Linked DNA regions of Arabidopsis thaliana. The protein of the gene in region 3 interacts with the protein of the main gene of each other region in a biochemical or structural test. Each region holds a gene or a part of one and is shown on either strand. Other genes may lie near its edges.

Evidence for each region.
Region 1: the proteins of RKP (region 3) and KRP2 form a complex in vitro, tested with the Arabidopsis thaliana proteins (one study listed by BioGRID).
Region 2: the proteins of RKP (region 3) and KRP6 form a complex in vitro, tested with the Arabidopsis thaliana proteins (one study listed by BioGRID).

The regions. Positions count from the first base shown.
Region 1 is NC_003074.8:18,798,577-18,802,144, reverse strand, and holds KRP2 (KIP-related protein 2), read right to left. Parts: upstream 1,840-3,568; 5' UTR 1,638-1,839; coding exon 1,311-1,637; intron 1,235-1,310; coding exon 1,173-1,234; intron 1,089-1,172; coding exon 921-1,088; coding exon of another isoform or gene 917-920; exon of another isoform or gene 852-916; coding exon 779-851; 3' UTR 550-778; downstream 1-549. UniProt on the Arabidopsis thaliana protein: Binds and inhibits CYCD2-1/CDKA-1 complex kinase activity. Regulates cell division which is crucial for plant growth, development and morphogenesis. May regulate early lateral root initiation by blocking the G1/S phase transition.
Region 2 is NC_003074.8:6,615,781-6,619,655, reverse strand, and holds KRP6 (KIP-related protein 6), read left to right. Parts: upstream 1-1,704; 5' UTR 1,705-2,000; coding exon 2,001-2,294; intron 2,295-2,397; coding exon 2,398-2,453; coding exon of another isoform or gene 2,454-2,545; coding exon 2,546-2,722; coding exon of another isoform or gene 2,723-2,726; exon of another isoform or gene 2,727-2,964; coding exon 2,965-3,028; 3' UTR 3,029-3,326; downstream 3,327-3,875. UniProt on the Arabidopsis thaliana protein: Binds and inhibits CYCD2-1/CDKA-1 complex kinase activity. Regulates cell division which is crucial for plant growth, development and morphogenesis. May inhibit CDK kinases specifically involved in the G1/S phase transition.
Region 3 is NC_003071.7:9,363,462-9,371,156, forward strand, and holds the start of RKP (uncharacterized protein), read right to left. Parts: upstream 6,001-7,695; 5' UTR 5,662-6,000; intron 5,483-5,661; 5' UTR 5,368-5,482; coding exon 3,883-5,367; intron 3,772-3,882; coding exon 2,965-3,771; intron 2,853-2,964; coding exon 2,692-2,852; intron 2,562-2,691; coding exon 2,423-2,561; intron 2,253-2,422; coding exon 2,169-2,252; intron 2,060-2,168; coding exon 1,778-2,059; intron 1,700-1,777; coding exon 1,568-1,699; intron 1,405-1,567; coding exon 1,205-1,404; intron 1,121-1,204; coding exon 907-1,120; intron 833-906; coding exon 485-832; 3' UTR 1-484. UniProt on the Arabidopsis thaliana protein: E3 ubiquitin-protein ligase that promotes the ubiquitination and proteasomal degradation of KRP1 and KRP2.

The DNA of each region.
Region 1 (3,568 bases), on a different chromosome or scaffold from region 3:
TTTAAATGACTCAACTTCTTCTTCTTCTTCTTCTTTTTTTTGGTTGTTGCTAATCGAGTATAAATTATAGGCGTTAGGTACACCAACCATATCTAATATCCATGTTATATTAGATAGATAAATTAGGAAAATAAAATAATACAACTCAAAATAGTTACTTTGTTGAAAGAAATTGAGAGGGAAAAACTGGAAGTGTATATTTAAGCTATTTTATTTTTAAAAAATATATAATTTCAAATAGCTAAATTTGTAAAATGCAAGGAGATAGTACAATATTTTAGTTTAATAACTTGTAAAGCACAAACAAGTTCGTAGTTAATCACTAGAGTAGCACCTACAATCCAATCCAAGTGAGAATAAAATAGTAACTTTTTTACTGAAAAAGCCTGATCAATAAACAGTTATATTCCTTTACCACGTCAGCCGTGACCCTTTTTTGTTCTGCTCTACACTCTCTTTTCATTGTTAAAAAAAAAAAATCAAATACTGTATGATAATTGATACATAGAAATAATAGAAGCTATTTAGTTTTCAGTAACAATTATAATTACTCTTAGAGTTATAAACTTATAGTTTATTAATCGAGAAAAACACGAATCTAATTAATTACCTCAAGGAAGTACAAACAAAAGTTGAATTACATGTTATTGATTATTCGAGAGAAAGATATCTACATTTGGATTTTGTTAAAAGAAAAATCAAAGCAAAGATTATTACAGAAGAGAAATAATAAGTACTTTGGTGAAAACAATGATCATCATTATCATCATCGTCTTCTTCATGGATTCAATTTAACCCACTCGTATCTTCCTCCACCAAGTGGCTCATCTTTCTCGAAATCGAAGTTATACCTAACAACAAATTCATTATCAGTTTCAAAAATTCGATTAAAAGATTTGAATCAAAAAAAAAAAACTTACTTCATAGAACATTCCAACAACTTATTCCGAAGATCTTTCTCCGCCACCTGAAAAAAGTCTTCTAACTCAGCTTCCTTCACCGTCTCATGGAGACTCTTCCTTAACCTGCGGCGAGACTCTACATCTTCAACAGCCACCGAAGAAGAATCCATGTTCATCGATTCCTCACTATACACAAAAAAATCAAAGACATTTTATAGAAATGTTTGTTACTGATTCAAAATTTTAATATCTGTAACAAATTAAACAAACCTCTTATTCAAATCATCGTAAATCCACGACGTTTCTGTTTCACGATCGTCACCGTTATTTTCCTGGAAAAACGAATTCAAAAATTTCAAAATCTGTAAATCAAAATTCAGTTTCGATAAATAATGCTTTCGTTGTCACCTCAAGATCTACAAATTCGATTCTCCGTTTCGATTTCTCTTCCGATGTAGAACAACACGAAACCGACGAATCTTCTTCTTCGATTTGACACTGTTCTTCAACCGGAGGAGAATCTCGCCGTCGTACTATAACAACACTCGTCTCCGACGCTCCTGCTGAATTTCTCGCCACAATTCCACCGCGATTCGTCGCCTGTACACACGGAGACAGAATTATCCTAGATTCCACTAAATCCACTTCCTCCTCCATCTTCCTTCGTTTCACCGTCGTCGTCGTAACTCCATTCTCTTCAACCACATCTCGTTCTCTTCTCCTAACCGCCGCCATAATCTCCTACGACGTCACCTTCCAGATCTCTATCTCTCTCTAAAATCACTCGTTATGTGTGCGTGTTTGTGTTTCTCTCTCTTTCTCTCTACTAGAGAGTCTCTAGCTCGCGTACCATTTGGGTTATTCTGTTATAAGATGGTGACGATCTTCGTTTTGATCGTAATTTGTTAACGGCCACGATTAACTCTTGTCATTTTCATATAAAGCCTCGTGTGAAGTAGGAATAGTAATTCTTTTAATATGTAACGGAGAATTTGACGGCGCCGTTAAAAATCGAGTATTTTATACCTTACACGATTGATACGTGTCTTTTATTCGTTACGATTACATTAATAGTTTCAAAGTTTACAAAATCAGTGCAATTAGTGCATATCTAGTTACTTTAGAATGATAAATTTTTTTGAATTCAAATTTTTTTGAATTAATATGTTGTTTTTATTTATTTTAATATAATTGGCTGGCTTTTCCAATAAATCAACGAGAATGAAAATAATTATTGTGGATATTAAGATAAAACTGTTTATTTTTTGTTATAATAATTACGAATTTATATTATAAAGATAACAATAATACCATCAAATTATCATATTAATTCACAGACGATCAAATAGATAAAAAAATGTGTGTAAAGCAATATAATGTATATGCAACATGGAATTTGACAACGATGTTATAGATCGAGTATCTTATACCTTTACACGATCAACATATGTCTTTTATTCGATGTGATTACATTAACGGTGTCAACGTTTACAGAATCAGTGCATATCTACGACTACGTTAACGGTGTCAACGTTTACAGAATCAGTGCATAATTTTTTTTTTAGAATGGTAAATAGAATTTGAATTCAATTTTTTAATTAATATGTTTTCTGTTTTTTAAAATAATTGGTTGGTGTTTCCAATGAAATAGAATGAGAATAATTATCGTGGATTTTAAAAATAAATTTAGATTTGATAATTTTTTGTTGTAATAATTGCGAATTTAGATTATAAAGACAATAAAAATCTTAGATTTATAGAGAAAAATGACAATATCATCCAATCATCTTAAATAGATTAAAAAAAATGTGTGTAAAGCAATGTAATGTTGTCACGTTACATTATTAGTGATAATATGTGTTTCTGTGTTAAGATCTTATCAGTATTTGACAATGTAGTTGTGTATAGTTTTTCAATGCATAGTCGTAATATTTCAATTTTGTGAGGGGGTCGACCGTACACATATCAAAATAAGGTATAAAATACATTAAGTCTAAAATACATTAAGTCTAGGGCCATGACGTATTTAACGGTTAGGTGATAATGAAATCAATGCTGCGACATGCTGTTTTGTTGTGGCAATACAATACGTACACAAACATATTCACATGCTTAAATATTACTACTAATTCACACAGTGAATTAAATACTACTAGTTCATATCGCATACATTTCGTTGGTAAAAATAAAAGAATTTTTTTCCATCATCATTTTCGTCTTATATTGAATTTTTTCTTTTTTTTTAATGCCGTCGTTCTGTATCGATTCTTGAGTTCACACAAGACAGTGTCTGCGCATATCCATCATACCATTCAATTTAATAATGTGCCCACGAGCTGCATACTCAATCATTACTAAACTGTCTCTCTCTTTTTTACACTCACTATAACAATGTGTAAGTATATATACATACTTATGAGATATTCAAAATAAAATAGTGAGCTAAACATATAATGTAGTTTAAAAATTCGCATAATATATGTTGTTGACTTCAAAAGAACAAAGATTATCATAACAATTACTACGAAAATAAAATTATCATATATCTATGTATACATCCGTAGTTCTTAATTATGAAAACTTAAACGCTAGTACCAACAAATGAATCCCTAAGTTTTAAAATCTCTCAATGAATACATATTGATATTCGTTTTGAAGGATAATTT
Region 2 (3,875 bases), on a different chromosome or scaffold from region 3:
CATACAAATTAATAGTAGGAAGTGACATAGAAACTATCTTAACATACAAAATCAACTTATCTTTACATTTTTCTAACTAGCTAATCAACAATGTAACAAAAAAATATTTGATTATTGATTGATAGTGTTATTATATATTCATACAAATGAGAAAAGATTTGAAATGATAGGCGAAATTTTTATTGAAAAGTTCTATCAATTTTTTTAAAAGTTTAGGACGACCCTATTCAGGACTATATATGATCATATGGATTACAATGGTCACTGAATAAATTATTTTGAATTATATCATTCCCTCTTGATTTGTCTTAATAATTCCTAAATAAATGCCTAGGTCAGCGAATTCGTTGTTGCATCAGTCACTTAATTATTACTCGATGATTCCTTTTATTACTAAAATTTATTGAAAATGGTCCCATTTATTGGAAGAATAAAGAAGTAGTTACACTAAAATTTAATTATAGTATATGCTTAAATTTGTAAACCGTTCTGGCCATTTTGTATATATATATACATATATGGGCTCTTTAAGACGAGAATTGAGTTTAGTTGTTTACAATTGGTTTTAACTGTACGGACAGTTTAGTTGAGCTTTAATGGCTCATTCTCTATGGTGCTATATTATGGTTTTAACACATGTACATTATTTCATAATACATATGTCATTAAAATGACATAGAGGACAAAATCTGTTGTTGATGTGTATCTGATCAGTGGAAGAAACTTACACATGCATGGAAACTTTCAAAAAGACAACTAAGCATAAACAAGAGATTAATTAGACTTAAGCTGAGTTAGTCTCTATATGACATAATTGATGTTTCTACTAAGCAAACCCCAAACTGTTATTCCCTTTCCAGATTCAAGCATTATTTGATTCGTCATTGATTTCATGGTCTTGGTGATGATACGAACCAAAAAGTTGTATAATTGGTTTATAAGATGTAGGTTCTTACAAAATTGACTATGTAACAAAATTATAGTATTGTTTTAAACGTAAATTAACGAGGCGCTTCTAGACATGTTCCGACAAACATATATAATAGTACAGATGATTTTATAGAATGTAGTTAATCGATGTATCTTCTGCTATAGGTATCTCTAATTTATTGTTCCGACCACCACAATTCTTTTCTAAGTATTTTATAAATTGGTTAACCATGTATCTTCTGTTGTGTAATTATAGCTAGTATCTTCATTTGAAATATTGTAAGGAATAGTTTGTCTAATTGCTTATGATATTTGACCATCTAAGTAAGTTTATGAACTAATTGTTTTTCAAAAAAGGTTGATTAACCTTAATTACGTGATAGTTTTAACATTAAAAGATTTCAACACTATGTTCTGGATGTTAACATATCCATCTCAAAACCATGATAAAACGCGTACAATGGAAGGGATCAAGCTAATTTGACAAATCTCTATTCACACCTCAACCATTCATATATATACCCTCGATATATGTCACATCATTGGTTTTAGCTTTTAATTGATTCTCATAAAATATAAAACCCAATTACGAGAAAAGACTTGTTCGATGGTTCTCATAGACCCTGACCAAATAAGACTTGTTCCTAAACAAATCGAATTAAATAGAGTTGTGGTTTACTCATACTTTAAATCGTTTTAAGAAAAAATAATGACTACTGTTACGTTGCTACTACGTCATAACTACCGAAAATGATTGCGTTTTCAATTGCTTTGAAAGGAAGCCAAAAAGGCAAAAACGGCAAAAAGGGAGAGAAAACGCGTTTGGGAATCTCAACGGCGTTTGTGTAAGAAAATAAAAGCGAAACTCCGTAACGGCGCCGTTATATACCATAACCTCCGTCCGCTCACCAAGGAAAATAAAATCTCAACCGTTGAAATAATCAACGGCTCATGATTCATTCTCTCTCCTTCCCCACCAAAATCTCCTCTGCTTTGTTAAGAAGCGAACCAGAAATAGAAAGAAAAAAAAGCAGAGAGAGAGAGCACACAAAAATCCAAGAGAGAAAAAAATGAGCGAGAGAAAGCGAGAGCTTGCAGAAGAAGCTTCAAGCACAAGCTTCTCACCACTGAAGAAAACGAAGCTTAATGATTCTTCTGATTCATCACCGGACTCTCATGACGTCATCGTCTTCGCGGTTTCATCTTCTTCCGTTGCTTCGTCGGCGGCTTTAGCGTCTGATGAATGTTCCGTTACCATCGGTGGAGAAGAAAGTGATCAGTCCTCGAGTATCAGCTCCGGTTGTTTCACCAGTGAATCGAAAGAAATCGCGAAGAACAGTTCGTCGTTTGGTGTAGATCTGGAGGTGAATTTTCAAAATCAAATAACTCCTCTCTACTTGAATCGATTTAATCAGACGATTTTCTCAGTTTTCGTTTTGATTTTTTATTTCCGTTTCTGTGTTTCAGGATCATCAAATCGAAACCGAAACCGAAACCTCAACATTCATCACCAGCAATTTCAGGTTCATAATCTTTTTGTTTCCCCCCCCCCCCAAATTAGACGTTCAATCGATTTTATTCTCCTTGGCGATTTTTTCTCTGTTTTTTATGGCAGAAAAGAGACGAGTCCAGTGAGTGAGGGTTTGGGAGAAACGACAACAGAAATGGAATCATCATCGGCAACGAAGAGAAAACAACCGGGGGTGAGGAAGACTCCAACGGCGGCGGAGATTGAGGATTTGTTCTCGGAGCTAGAGAGTCAAGACGATAAGAAGAAGCAATTCATAGAAAAGTGAGTCCATTTTTACAATTTCATCATCTCTCTCACGTGTGTTCTTGTTGTTGTTGTGTGCGCTTTGCTTTTTGGGGTTTGGGAAAAATTGGAGTGAGTCCGTACCTAGAGAGAGAGAGAGAGGAATGTGAGTAAAAATGTCTGCGTGCGCATGATAAAAAGATTAACCGACGCGTAGTTTAGCAAATATCCTAAAAAGAGAGAGAATCAGAATCCTAACGAACACACACACTTTGGCACAGGTACAACTTCGATATTGTCAATGACGAACCGCTTGAAGGTCGCTACAAGTGGGATCGACTTTAAGCCATCAAAAAGCAAATACCATCCATGAAGAAGACAAAAGAAAAATAGGTTTTGTTTTTCGTGGTTAACATTTCCACTTGTACAGCTCTAGTCTATTTCTCTTTAAAAACCTATGTTACTAGTTCGTACAAAACAAAACAAAAAACACGACCTTTATAATGAAATTTCGGATCTTGGCTACTAATTACGGTGATTTCGTTGGTTTGTTATGTTTCTGTTTTAAAATCAAAAATGGTTTTGGCAGAGTTTTAAGTGCATGAATATAGAAAGGTGCTTCTTGTTTGGATTCTTTTAAAACATTGGATGCTTAATTATTACAATTATTTTATCTTACTCAAAACTATTATTTTTTGTTTGTCTCATGTCATTCTTATTCTTACACTTGCAGTTTATGTTATATTTAAATGTTTCATGTCATATAGTACCCAATTTACAAAAATATCTGAAACCAAAAATTGATGTTTTAAAAAAAAAATTGGAGAAAAGAGGAAAGGTACATGACATGACGGCACAGTAATACAGTTGGTTTGTACTTCTCTAAAAACTGCGATCATACAAAATACAAATATTATATTTTTTCTATTTTTTTCACTAATATTCTTTTATTTTATTTTGGAATATTCCTCTATTTTGGCACTAAACACAGGGTCCACTTAGTTAAAACCATTTTGGCCTTCATTAGATAAAACCAAAAAGCGGCCTATGCGGAGTAGTAATTTATCCTAATGAAGTGTGTTACTGTAACAAAATATCATCAATGAGTGATACTATATAAAAACGATTACATAGGATATATTTACGTGGATTAGCTTTTTGGTAACGCATTAAAAAAGGTTAATCTCATCAT
Region 3 (7,695 bases):
AAACATACATTATGCAAAGAAATTTGAGAAAATTAAATAAAATACAACAAATAAAACTTATTGAACCAAAATTTTATCAGATTTTTTTAGTTTAATGAGATCCTATAAATTTGGATTTTGAGAGTATTAAGTGAACAAAAAAACAAGTGTAAGTGAACCTAATTACGAACCGGGTAACCGATTTACTGGTTTAACCCACCAAATCCGCTGTAATTCCAAAACACACTGTTGAGAAAAGTAAGAACCCAAGCGAAACAGAGAGCCTTTAAATAATTTCCATTTCATTCTCATATATACAAGAAAAAAGAGAGGCCTAGAGATCACAAGACCAGGTCTACAAAATTATCACAGACCTTTGTTTGTTTGTGTTTTTTCTTATTTATCCTATAAATCTATATAATCCTTCTTCCTTTGCTCCCATCCTAAAGATCTTTCCTTCTGTGTCTACTACATCAACAACCTGTAACCGCAACTAACCCGAGCTTCATGTGCTTCTTTTGTGACCATCATCGTCTTCTTCTTCTTCTTCTTCTTTATCTCTTATAACATCTATCACCGTAGCATTGCAGAAAAAACATCTCTGACAGTTGAGAAGATGTCTAGTTATGCAGCCATAACATGATCGATGTGAACACGGAGCAATCATTGCATTAGCCTCCCCCGCGTAGCAGATACAGCAAGTGTTGTCTTCTATATCTGTCGTGTCTTTGTTGAATGACTCTTCTTTTCTTTCGGGTTCTTGCGATGAAGCCCGGTTTATGAGATGGCTCAAGAAGTTCTCAAGCTGTCCAAGTTTCTTTACATAGGCATCATCCCCGCTTACACAACCGTCCTGAAAATGTTTTTGAAAAGCTGTGTCAGTAGGAGAAGCAAACGAGCAGAAACTAGATTTAAGAGCTTACGTACCCAATTATATTCCAAGAGATACTGAAACCCGTAATAGACTGTATCGGGACAGTCCATGCTTGCGAAAAGACCAATTACATCATGTTGTTGCTTTGGTTTTGAGTCTTCACTAGCCTCCAAGAGATTCAAGATTATACCAACCAAAGGAGCTAATAAGATCCCTCGGCTAACTTTCTCTGAAGGTTGTCCCTGCCGTCTAAGTGACCTGACAGATCTCAAAACAAGAAGAAAACAATATCAATTAAAAATTAGCGATTTCCAACAAAGTTAGAGCTATTTGGGATATTTTTGAACTTACAGATCAAAGAACTCGTCATCTACTGCTGAGGTCATGTGATTCAAGATGAAAAGAATCAACTCAGTGAGCCTACGAAGATTCGTGTCAGTCCCAGCAAGAAATGCTTGTGGCATTGCGTAAGTGCAGAATTCTAAGACCCTTGCGAGATTGCTTGAAAGCTCAAATATCACACAACATTTCCTTTGCTGAAACTCCATTACCTGCATAAAGACAAGACGAATCAAAAACCGGACAAAGAAGCAAATAGAGTACTACAAAAACTTGTAAGGGAAATGCAGAATAAGAACCACAATCATTCAGGGAAAACTATTCAATTACTACGAAAACTTAATCGATGAAAATGATCCAAGCTTATAATCTGACCTGATACTTTTCTTGCATTTCTCGCACCGAGACAGAAAATTCAGTGATGGTCCAGCTCAGTGTGTTGAATAGACGGTTAAGAAAAGTAGAAAGTAATTCACCATCATTGATACAAGCATCTCGTAGAAGCGCCTAGACGAAAAAGAAAATCAAAATCCAATATGTAGACTGAGGATCAGATAGGAACAAAGTCAAATCAATCTAACCAACCTGGAAAACAGTAGACGAAAACGAAGACTCTCCGTTCTTTAAAGAACTAAACCCAGAACCTTTGCAAAGACGAAGAAATATATTTGTGACAGGGATCCAAGATCTGTTGTCAAACGCTGCCAGTAGTGCTGCAGGCATGTGTCGAGTAGCTGCCTCATTGTTCTCGAAAGCTTCCAAGTACTCTTTGTACTGTACCAGGACGGATATTGACTGGAGAAGTAGATCTTTAAGATCTGTATTCGATATCCTTGAATCGTTGAAGTGTGTAACTACGAAAGTGATCTGGAAACCCAAGAATTTGCAATGACCATGTTAGAGCTAATCAACTAACAGTCAGCCATGAGGAAAAATAACAGACAAAAAAGATTGTGTGATAAGAGTTTAGGCATACAAATGATGAAAGTCCTTGTTTGATGAATGTTGTTGATGGGACAAACGGAGGATCGCTCTTGCGAAGCACATGGAAACAGTCTACCTGAGGAAATAATCAAAGAGATTGTAAACTTAGGGATTTCATTGAGAAACAGAGAAAACGCAACAGAATAAGTTGTTGGAAGATCTACTAACTTTGATCAAAGAGAAACTGAAACATGTTCATTTGACATTTATATCAAGAAGTACCAGAAATGTGCAAAAGCTGTTTACCAAAGATTCAAGGTAGAACTCTGGAATATAAACAAACACAGAATCCATTTTGCTGAGAACCAGAAGTAGCTGTACAACCCACATGCACAATGCATACATTCCCCTTTGCTTCCATCGAGAGAACAATGAGATGCGGAACCTGACAAAATGATTCAGAATGAGGGCAAAAATATAGATTGTAATGTTGCCTCACATGAATCATAACTGAAACCTCTTCACTACACCCTCCTTCTGGAGTTAACGCAATCCATGAGTTAAGTGAAACTTACCATGCGGAATGTCTAACACAGTCCATCACGTCTTCTTTGTAGTTGTTGCGAGCTTCCTTCAAGCGCTTTATTTGGTCACAAGAAGCCCGTTCTCTTATCTGTTTATCAGTTTCTTCAAGAAGTGATATTGATTGCGATTGGTGAGACATGTAATATGATGCCTAAGAAAAGCAGAAAGAGAACCTATCAGCCTCTCAAGCTTATTCAGGTTGTGGTATGTATCGTACAAAAAATACAACAAAATCTAATTAAGACGGGAATAATTAAAATTACCTGCTTAAAATTTGGAGCAACAGCAATATGGTATAATAGCAATAGAGCATCCAATAGTTCTTCTTCGCTTAGTATAGCAGATGAGATTCTACTCTCTTGAAGTGCAGTCCGCATAAATCTTACTGGACGATAACCAAAGTCAGGGTCAGACTGATTACTTGTGCTAGGTTTGTCGTCTATTTCTTCACTGAAACTTCCAGCACTACATTCTGCAGCAACATGAGAGGATCTCTCAGGAATGGAACTGCATCGACCACGAGAACTTTGAGCAGTATTTTTTCCTCGATCCTTCAAGGATTTAGTAAGATCGGTATCATAAGCTAAGCAACAGCATGGCTTTTGCTCAGTCGCGTGAGTTACTCTATTCTGTTCATCATCCATACAACCTTCTTCCCACCGCATTATTTCTTCTTCTTGATCATCTGTGGGGTAGGACTTCGATATATGACTAAATAGCCCGCCAAGCCTAGTAATATCAGCGCGATGTGGATCATTTTTAAGAAACAAACTCAATGGAAACTTCTGCTGACCACCTCTGTGAAGAAAACCAACATTGTGATGGACGGCTTCACTACTCTTCAGCATTGCAAAACCTTCTGACAAGAAGTGGAGTATAACTGAGAACAAAGAGACAAGAACCGAATTGCGTGTAACTCCAGAAGGGGCCAGAGTCCTATCTGCGCCTCTGTTCTTCAATAAAAGGTTCTGTAGGAATCCCCTGAAAGCTGAACCAGGAAGCTGGGGAGGTGATACAGGTGGTATGAATTGTATGACCAAGAGACAGAGGTTCCTCTGCTTCTCCTCAATCTGAATTCCAAGAGAAAGAATTACTTAATTATGTTCCTCAGATTCCAGAGGAGACTTATGCCAGCGGTTATTTATAGAAAAATAAAATAAGTCAGAAATAACCTATCATACCTTGTTAATGGCTTCAGAGAGAGCGGAGATCGTAAATCCCATGCTACTCTCGTAGGATATATCTTCAGAGGATCCAGGCCACCAAACAACAGGCATTAAGTGCTGTAAGTCATGCTTGTTGGAACTCCTGCATGACAAGAAACCTTCAAACAAAAACTCGAAATGCAAAGATCTCCACCATTGTACCATCAATTCTTCCCGTTTAAACAAATGACAAGCCAGCGCCAGATAGGGATAAGGTCCGGAGTATGGACACTCGGTTAAAATCAGTGTCGCTGTTTTGCAGCCACAAGCCAGAGCGTTTACTACATGCTCAAAGATCAAATGAGATTGTGGGAACTCAAGAAACACATCAAGAACTTTGTCTAAACTTGACGAATCATGCGGTGCTTGAGTTCTGAAAGTCTCCAAGAGGAATGACAGAAATGCACCCCGTCCTAAGTACTCCGCCAACAAAGGGTCTTGCTCAAGTATATAAAAGAACTCATCACATATGGCAGACGAAACAGGGCAAAAGAGTTCTTCGACTGAGGCAAATCTCCTCAGTCGACTTAATGTATCAGCCAATGAGCGGTCTGGCCTATCCAGCAGTCTTGAGAAGCATCGTAGTAGCTCTGTTGCAAATGAAAATCGAGTTGGAGCTTCTTGAAGAGGTTGGAAACCGTCAACAGGGTACTTAAACGGGTAAGCGCCGAAATTTAACTCGCATCTCTCACCTTGGGAGAGAGATATAGCAGGGTAATACCCAAATCCAGGTCCAAGTTTTCTAATACCAGTAAATGCAGCCCCGAGGGAGACACCATTCCTGTAGAAGTAAATCTCATCACAGTTCAAATCTATGCAGCAACCGATGACATCCCCAGCAACCCATGATTGACCATAAGGTTCAGCTTCCTTGTTCCATTTGCTTACCCTTCGACCATCAAAAGCATATGAATCATCAGCATCACCCACACCTTTCTGGTCAGTGAAAGGGCAAGCAAGTGTTGCCCATCCAAGTTGTTGAATTCCCGAGGTCTCTAAAGCGACTTCATACATCCATTTTCCTTTCCAAATACAAGCATTAGCCCTGGCGCTACTGAAAAGTGCTAAGCTCTCCAATACAAGAGGTGGCTTCACAATCCTGATATCACCACATATGCTAAACTCTTCAAGGCCAACAATAGGAGGTCCAACACCATGATGAACTACACTGATTCCTTCTCTCTGACTAACTGAAACATCCAAATCACCATGAAGCTTCGAGAACTGATTCTTAATCACAGCTCTAATCAAGCTACTGTCTACTTGACCATCCAATGGACCAACCGACTTTTCTGCTAAACCAAATATGAATTCGATAGTCCGTTCTAAAGGCCGGTGACCAGAATAATCAAAATGTGGAACAATACGAGCTTTCGAGGAATTTTCTTTAGCATCTTCACCATTCAGTAAAACAGCCAAACCAGATGAAATCATACCAACCCGTAGGCTGTCTTCAGCCATATGGCATTGATTGTGAACCAAACGCGCTTTCAACACAACCAATTACAAGAGAACCAAAGTCTGTATCTATTCAACGAGACCTCATCAGAGACAATTCGAAAATGATTCAGAAAAGCTGTGAAGAGAAGAAGAACAAAAAAAAAAGTAGCATAAGTTTCCAAAAATCAATACTTGAATCAAAAAGCTTTCAAATTTATGTGATGAACAGGGATTAACAAAAAGAGAAAGCTATTCAATTTCAATCAATTAGAAAGAAAAAAACACCAAAATCAGAACGGAAAATTCGAAACTCACCGGAGAAATTGACATGAAAAGCGATTAACCCAGAAGCCAAAATCAATCAATACCCAGATTCTTCAAACCAAAGACGGCGGACTTGTGCTAGGGTTTTTCAAATAAATTAAACAGGAGAAGACTTTTCGCTTCTTTTTTTTTCTTCTTCTTCCTCGAAGAGAGAGAGAGAGAGAGATTTTGCGCCCAATATTTTTGGGGGAACAGAGAAGAAGAATTGAAGAAAGAGAGAGAGAGGAATCAGAAGACCGGTGGCTAACACCGAACGAGCCAATGGATCATGTGGCGTGTGGGTTTTTTACCGACACGTGTCGGTGTCGATGACGTGGCTGATGACGTATTATATCGACGGTCTGGTCTGGTAACTTTTATAGAAGGAGAAGGAGGAAAGTTTACGATGCGGACGGTCTTACGTTTATTTTGACACGTGGCGTAGTAGATGTTAACGTGTTCTTAAATCAAATTACAAAATTACAAAAAGTAAACAACGCTTTTTAATTTTTCTCCTTCTGTTTTCTTTTTTAGTGTTAACATTATGAGATTTGTTTTACTGAAGATATTTCCTGTTATTTGGATTAATCAAAAATAACAAAAAAAAAGGTGCTGTAAAACTTAGCAATTTAAAGGTAAAGTTAAAAGAATGTTAGTATCACCACTAACTAAAGAAAAAATCACAAAAATAATATGGTATTGTTTGAATATTCTTTTTTTTTTCATTTTAGTGTTAGTATTATGAGATTTTCGTGTAAAATTTTTGCTAAAAACATTGTTAAAAAAAATTAGTTTTGTTTATCGCTTTTAAATAGTTATTATTTTTAGTTTAAAAAAAAAAAATATTATTGTTTATTATCAAAGATGATTTGGTTTCGACTACCCGTGAAATTTTCGAATGTGATTACAGTTGTCGAATAGCGTATTTACTGTATTTTATTTAAGTGGATCTAAAATATGATATAATTATGATTAATCTAAAAAGAAATGTAAATTTAAGTTATATATCACTTTTGTAAATAATTTCTCTCGGAATTATTTTTTTTAAGTCCTTAATAATATCTTATGACAAAAAAAAAAATATGAATCTAGTTATCAGGTTTCCTTGGTAAAGAAAAATTTAGATGTAAGTTTCCTATTTGTAGATTCTATAATCATAACGGGTTTCACAAACAATTATAATACTGGTATCATTCGTTGACAAGAACTAATAATAATCTGGAGTTGACTTAATTAGAAAACTTTATTTGTAAATCAATTGTCAAAAGCCATTCGTATATTCTTAATACATTATGCAAATTAAAGAAGAGTGTTACTATAATGTATGCACGAAAACTATTCAAGTGGATGTAAAGACGATTGAAATCGACGGAACGTGACGGAGCAGTTGTTGACAAGTCACCGGAGCTTTTGCAAACTTCCGATAGACACACGACCTTGTCAACGACCTGAGAGTATAAATAATTGAAAATATCAACTCGATCTCTAAACACACCACGTGGAAAGCTATGAGACCACTGTCGGCTAATGACTAATAAAAGAAGTATCGTGCACGTGTTCCACGTTGATCAACAGCCACTTCACTGGCTGATGTCTCTGTTATTCAGATAGTGACTTAAGACGGCATTATATTGTCTTCAAGGGAAATATTAAAACGCTGCGTTTCCGTGTGATGGAATAATTTTGCAACCGTTGCCACTTTTACTTTTGGGAATTTGGTTGAACAGCAACTTGTTTTTTTTTTTTTGGTAAATATTTTTGGTTGAACTTGTCATTCAATGTAGCAAAACTTAGTAAAAATGCTACAAAACATAAAGATTTTCAAATGTGCCAAACCTCAGCTCTATGGACGATTTCCCTGTTCTAACTATACTAAAATGCATAGTTTTGGTGTAGTGATTAACAAAAATATGTATGGAATATAATCATGATGATAATGATAATGGTAAGATTATGCTTTTACTTTTGATTAAAAGCTAGTGATATGATTTGCCTCTTAATTTGAGTAGATGATTTTCAATGTTTGGTACTATTTTCATTGTTTTA